Linked DNA regions of Caenorhabditis elegans. The protein of the gene in region 1 purifies or fractionates together with the protein of each later gene. This does not show direct contact. Each region holds a gene or a part of one and is shown on either strand. Other genes may lie near its edges.

Evidence for each region.
Region 2: the proteins of hlh-3 (region 1) and Y38A10A.7 fractionate together in Caenorhabditis elegans (co-fractionation; one large-scale study listed by BioGRID). This does not show direct contact.

The regions. Positions count from the first base shown.
Region 1 is NC_003280.10:9,084,623-9,088,570, forward strand, and holds hlh-3 (Helix-loop-helix protein 3), read left to right. Parts: upstream 1-1,985; 5' UTR 1,986-1,988; coding exon 1,989-2,183; intron 2,184-2,674; coding exon 2,675-2,992; 3' UTR 2,993-3,286; downstream 3,287-3,948. UniProt on the Caenorhabditis elegans protein: Probable transcriptional regulator. May mediate transcriptional activation by binding to the E-box motif 5'-CANNTG-3'. Plays a role in the differentiation of the hermaphrodite-specific motor neurons (HSN) that are required for normal egg laying.
Region 2 is NC_003283.11:6,094,350-6,097,765, reverse strand, and holds Y38A10A.7 (N-alpha-acetyltransferase 40), read right to left. Parts: upstream 1,570-3,416; 5' UTR 1,556-1,569; coding exon 1,455-1,555; intron 1,410-1,454; coding exon 1,071-1,409; intron 1,020-1,070; coding exon 863-1,019; 3' UTR 673-862; downstream 1-672. Other genes in the region: smut-1 (Synthetic MUTator), read right to left, coding at 1-481, 529-661.

The DNA.
Region 1 (3,948 bases):
CTATTTCCTAATATCTACAGTTTTTTTTTAAATTCTTTTGTTTTATGTCAAACGGATTAACTGTAGGTTTTGGCAGCCGATCTTTAAGATTCGGTCTTAAAAAGATCATGTGTATCCTATTGCTTTCAGTATCCATTCAATGTAACAAAACTCTTTTAAGGTGGTTTCAACTAGGTTATATCCTGACCAAGGGTGTCAATGTCCCGTAAAAATTTCGAAAACGGGACAACGGGAATTCCCGTTCCCGTGAAAATTTTAAAAACGGGAAAACGGGAATTCCCGTTCCCGTGAAAATTTCAAAAACGGGACAACGGGAATTCCCGTTTTTTTGAAAACACTCAAAAACGGGACAAACTGGGCGGTTTAAAAAAAAAGAGTGCATAGTTGGCGTAAATTTTAGTGTATTCGAGGCAAATTATAAAAAAAACTGCATTATAAACATTTTTATCGATTTTTTCAATATTAAACAGATATTTAAAAAGCCAAAAAATGAGGGAAAATGTCCAGTTCCCGTGAAAATTTTTAAAACGGGACAACGGGAATTCCCGTTCCCGTGAAAACACCCCAAAAACGGGACAACGGGAAAAACGGGAAACGGGAATTGACACCCTTGATCCTGACTGTAATTTCAAAATTTAGATAGTTTCAATTTCACTCTTCTTAGGAAATGTATTGTCTCATAACTGTTTTTAGAAAGTCGGTACCATAAAAAGAGCACTAATCTCTCATTGTTCTCATTTTTCTTGGAAGCTCTGTTCATTTCCTGAGTCGGCTGCCAGTAAAAAAGAAGAGCTCAAGGGCTCAAGTGAGCGTGAGCCGGCAAAAAGCACTAGTCAATAACAGTATCATTAGGATGCCGGATAATTGACATTCAAAGCGGCTTTTCCTGCACTCTCCGGTCTTTTCCTCTAGTGTCGCAGTGCGTTTTACATGAAAATTCAAATAGGGCAGAAACAAAACCATAAAATGTGATCGACGGTTAGCACCCCTCATTCAATCTCATTAGGCCGCAGTTTTATGGATAATCAACTATTGCACTAAATGATATTTGTATTGGAAATTCATTAAACATATGAAATGGGAATTTGAGAAAGTGCAATGCTTCAGAACGACATGTTCTCTCCGTGTTTCTCTAACAGTGAAGCCATCGCTTATTTTACTTATTTTACGATCAGAAGAAATTTTCAATTTCAGCTGATTTTAAAAAATTTGCACACAAAACAAGAACCGGCCACATTTTAGATACTGAAAATATTTCTGAACTCAAGCTCCTGAAAGGCTGCTGTTGGTCTCCAGAATTTTTTTTTACTTTATACACGTTTCAATGGAAAATCCAAGGAAAGTTATAGAAACATGGAAGACATTACTACAGTATTACAGTATTCGCAGAGCGATCGTTCTGGCGCCATGGTACAACAAAGACAATCTGAAAAGTTCAGTCCATCCATGGTAGATGAAAACTTGATTTAGTGATTTTTTTCTTAATTTAAAATCTAGAGTATTTAGCACTCCTGTTTTTATTTTTTATTAACATGGTGACAGAATTGCAATCACATCAATAAATGTAGACTGAAACTTTTTGGTAGATCATAATACAACATTAATTAATTGATTGCAAACTATATATGTTCACATCAATATTCCCACCCTTCGTCTCTCCCCCAACTCAGCCCTCCCTTATTTGGTTGCCCTTCCCGACCCCGCCCACTTTTCCGCGCATTCGTGTTGTGTCTTCCCCTTCGTGATGTGGTGGGTCATTTCTCGTTTTCATTCCTCTTTTTTGAATTTTTTATTTATTTTTCGAGTTTATGGTTGATCATTTAATGTTCTTGCATTTTTCCATAGTTCTTAATCTCCTTTTCTTTATTCTTTTTCGTTCTAGAAAGTCTCTCTTAACGCTGTTTGTATAAAAATTAAACTTAAAATGTACTCTTATTTCCTTTTCCTTTAAAATTTCAAATTAAATTTTTCAACTGTATTTGCAGAATATGACCGCATCCACCTCCTCAACTCCATCTACATCCACCAAAATTCCGTCGTCAAGTAAGTCTTCAGTAACGAAGCAGACGAAGCAAAAGCGTAATGAACGTGAACGAAAACGTGTTGATCAAGTCAATCAGGGATTTGTTCTATTGCAAGAAAGAGTACCAAAAGCTGCTGGAAACAAGGCAAAGTTGTCAAAGGTGAGAGTAGTTTTGTGGTGTTTGGGAGAAAACGTGAAGCAAATTGTAAATTTGATTTGCCTAAAGGAGAAATTTGCGGTTTGATTATAGGGTTTTGATTATGTTTTGTGAAAAATTGAAATATATTATTTAGAAAACCAATTGGCAAAATGTTCTCGTATATAGGCTAATATCAAAGATTATGCAATGTTTTAGAATAAGCTGCCAACTTGATTATTTCATGTAAAATTATTTCAGCCTAGCTTTTTTTCGTTATTTACTAAAAATATTCAGAAGCTCCAGCGCAATGCTTTTTGAAACAAATTGTTCGCACTAATCCTTTCGTGCTTAAAAGACTATAACAAAAATTATTCAGCTCTGTAACTTAGAAAAATGTATATTAGGGTTTCATTTATCAATTAGAAAACCAAAATTAAATATCCAAATCATATTTGCAGTAGAAAATTATGAATAGATTTATTTAAGATTATAATTTATTTCTAAAATTTCAGGTCGAAACCCTTCGTGAAGCCGCCCGTTACATTCAAGAACTGCAGAAGCAACTCGGAATGTCTTCCACAAGTTTCCATAATTCGATGCCAGCTGACTTTCCAACTCCAGAACAGTCTCCCGTATATCCCCAATCTGTTTGCTCAATGATGGCACAGACTCCATCGCCAAGCTACACCTCTCCATACTATCCACCACCACAAATGATGTCCTCTAATCAGCATGATATGTCATCTCACTATTATCAAGAAAGCTCATCATCTTCTGCATCCACTTCTGGTGATCATCATAGCTTTTATTCGCATACAGAAACTTATTAATCTGTTAAGTTGTACCATATTTTCTGTTTTTCTCAAATAATCGGGTGATCCAATTCCTTTACCGTTTCCTATGTGTACTTGATAAGGTTTAATTGAAACAATTTCAGTTGAGTAGGTGCTCAGTATATTTCATTTCAAAAACTCTGATAATAGCCATAAATACTTACTTATTAACTATCTTTGATTGTTTTTTACGTCTAGATTAAATTTGATTTTCATTATTTATTGTACGATAGTTTTTTTGATCTCAAAACAGTTGTTTATCTAAATTATTCTGCTCAATCTGTGCAATAAATATCTTTCACATTTAGTGATACTTTTAACAATTCGAACATTTTGGTAACTAACTGATGGCAACCAAAAAAAGGAAAACTATGACGTTTGACATTTTTTGGTAGAGTGTGGTACCTATCTGCCACCAGCCTACTTGATAATTCGCCAGGAAATCACCATTAAACTCCGAGAAGGTCCATATTCGAATATTGTCTATAGGTTTAAATGTATGATATCTAAAAAAAATATGTATATTTAATAGAGAGGCAGAATTAAAGAAAAAGAATTCCTAGAACATAGGTTTCTTGTGCACCAGCTCCTTGTTTTTGCAAGTTAAAATAATTTCCTTTTTTTTTAATAATTTAAAAACTCTCAAAAGTCTTGAAAAAAGGTTGCCCCAATTTCACATTTTGATAAGATCTTCAATCAGTTAACAAATGTTGTCTTTCAGTATTTCCCATGTCAAAAGTACAGTGACATTTCCGTTCTCATTGTCTATATTAGCCAGGAATACCATTAATATGTTTACTTCATCTTCTGGGAAGACTTCTTTGCACTTCTTTTTTGTTGCATGTCGGGCCTTTTATGCAACGTAATCCCACCCGTTTATTCTTTTGTCTTTTACGGCGGCATCATTGCCCACAATAAAACTGTCTCCATTTACACCCCTTCTTCCTAGACAA
Region 2 (3,416 bases), on another chromosome or scaffold:
CGAATAGGTATAATATCTTCCATATCTATCAAACCAAGAAGAACTTCACAACGATTAAAAAGTTGTTCAACGAGTGAGTTGGTATTTGCAAGAATAAGAATAGTTGGTGATGGCGTGGTTGAAATATTGGTAAGCAATGGTCGCTCCCTCAATGCAATTTCAATCGCCGGAATAAGAAACGCATAAGTCTTCCCGATTCCAGTTGGAGCATCCACTAGAAGTCCTCGGCGGTCACGAATAGCTTGAATTGATTTTTGTTGAACTGCATTCAGAATATGAACTTTTATTCGTTGCAAATTGGCGGCAAGTCGGTGATCTTCTATTGCATGTGCAACCATCCTCTCTGTTCCATAATCAGCTGGAGTTTCTACTCCGTCTTGATCCACCATTATCGTGTTCTCCTCACAGTGTTTATTCAATTTGTCAGTTTCAGCTTTTGAAGATGTGACTGCGCCCAACTGCTGATGACGATCTCTCATTGCTGAAGAAAAGTTATTGAAATATTTAATTGCCCAGAACATGGTTTACCAAAATAATAATCTCTAGTTTTAATAGATCTGAAGTTGAGTACATTTGCATACTTTGGAGGAACTAAATCAATGTGCTCAACTTGTACCCGACTATCGTCTAATGCATCGGCAGTGTTCCAAGGATGAGGCATCTACAAAGATTATTACAAAAATGTTTATATTTTGGTTTGAAAATAAATATTTGAACGAAAAGTAACGGTTTTTACGACACAATATTATAAAAGTAGAAATATAAAAAACGTTTGTTTACCCAAAAAAAAATACATGTAACAATTAAGCCAGAATGAAGATGATAACAAATTAGAAAATCATAGAATCAGAATTTAATATTCTTATGTGCTCGGTGTCTCTTTCGACAGGATCGCATAATCCAGACCAGAATCATCGGATGGGCACGTCACGTCGCTGTTGTATCCATGTTTGTGAAAGAAGCCGAGCGACGGTCCATTATACAGAAAAACTGTTGCCATGACTTTACTCATGTTTGTCCTGAAAATAAGAGTTTTTGTTTATTGGCTCTCGAATTAATTGAAACTGTACTTTGAAGAGAGCTTTTCCAGCGTGTCGAGCATCATGCCACCGATTCCTTTGTTCTGATAAGCCGGTACAATTTGAAGTTCCCAACAATATGCCACAGGAATGTTGTGATCGACCACAAATCGATAAGTGGTATAGCCAATTTTATCCCCTTTCGAATTCTTCGCGATGATGAACCTTGATGTTGTTGCACGAAGTTCGTTTCGCTTGGAATTTTCATCGTATCCCCACTGGGATTTGTGATACATATCGTACATGTTCTCTTTGAATAAACTGAACACCCACTCGAAGTCTTCATCACTCAAATGTGTCGCCCACATGTAATCGAATTTGATAGTTTCGCTGAAAATAATAAAGATTAATTTGAAAATCATTCAAAGATCCTACCCATCAGTTGTAGTACTTCTTTGTGTCTCGCATTCGAATTTCTCAACTGGTTTTATGTGCTGACAAGCTTTTTTGACCAATTTTTTCGAGTCTACGGGCATTTTTGGGCCGATATCTGAAAAATTGTTTTACAATTATTGAGAAATAAAACATGATCGATTATACTGGTGACAAATTGATCAATAAAACCGTAAAGAATACTGAAAAGAAAGGATAGAATCATTTGAAAAAAATGCATATAACTTGAATGTCGTATATTGTGGTGAAAAGTGTGCAAACACCATCACGTCAAGTCACGGATTTGCTTTAAATTAACATTTATATGTAAAAATTAGTCTTTATTGATAAAAATATCGTTAAAATGTACAATTTTGTTGATAATCGGAAACAAATTTACATTTCGTATGTTTTAAGTTGTAATATGTCTCCTAGCTAATATTTTCAGGGTCATTCTTCGCTGTATCATCTGAAATTGAATGCTAGTTAGATATTTTCAATTTTTATTATTAGAAATAAAACAGCTATCCAGCATAAAAAACGATGTTTAATAGAAATATACAAAAAGTGTTACGACAGCACGTTCTTAACCATGCGAAAAGTTCAGAAGTCTGAGACCCGAAGAACTCGGGGGATGTCCAATTGGGGGGATTACCAACTCGGGGGATTGGCCCCGCCCACAGAACCGTGGCTTGCAATACGCCCATTTCTGCAACTGCCGCACGGTTTTAAAACTGTATTTTTCTCAATAGAGCGAGAAATAACAAGAAAAAATAATTTTAAAACCGTGCGGCAGTTATGAAAAACCGTGCGGCAGAAATGGGCGTATTGCAAGCCACGGTTCTGTGGGCGGGGCCAATCCCCCGAGTTGGTAATCCCCCCAATTGGACATCCCCCGAGTTCTTCGGGTCTCAAAAAATGGACGAAAATTAAAATTGCTGTCATACTTCAAACTGAAATTCGTTTCGAGAGTCAAGCCCGTAAATCGCCACAAGTTCTACAGTAGCCATTTAAATAATTATTGTAGTTTTCGCTACAAGACATTTTGCGCGTCAAATAGGTTGCGCAATACGTATTCTCAGAATTTAGTGTTCTCGCAATAAGGCGAAGTTAGGAGGCTTCAAAGATTTGGAAAAAGGGAATGTTCCGCCAGAATCTAACACTTTACCAACTTTACAGTCTCGCAGCGACCTGAACTCCACTTTCATAAATATAAATAATTACCCTCTATATTTGGTAGTTTATTTGTTGATTTAGGTTTAATTTCGTTCGATGGATGCATAAATGTAACAAATTTGTGCAATCATGAACTGAAAAAAGCATCGAAACCTACGCGGAAAAACCAGGCCATATTAACAAACGATCAACTGTGCACGTAGTGTCAGAATGTCCCATCTCGGTTTGATCTTCGAAAATTGCGGGAATTTAGACGCAGTCTTCTAAATTGATTTCGCATAGTGAAGAGTGTGCTAACGTCAACAGAGGATCTCCTGCTTATAAATGGTAGTTTTTTTGAATAATAAAATACGCACTAAAAGGTGGGGCTGAAAATGTACTATTTCTGTAACTACGTGAAGCTTCTTGTACCTACTGAAATATTGTTAATATATTCTAAAAGAGCTTAAAATTTACTACAAAGTTTCTGAAAGTCATTTCAAAAAAAATTACTTTGAAGAGATTTATGAATTTTCAAAGTTTGGAAAATCCATCTATTTTTGCCTATTAATGGTAGTTTTCATTAACTAATAAAATACGCACTAAAAGGTAGGGCTGAAAATGTACTATTTCTGTAACTACGTGAAGCTTCTTGTACCTACTGAAATATTGTTAATATATTCTGAAAGAGCTTAAAATTTACTACAAAGTTTCTTAAAGTCATTTCAAAAAAAATTACTTTGAAGAGATTTATGAATTTTCAAAGTTTGAAAAATCCACCTATTTTTGCCTATTGATGGTAGTTTTCAT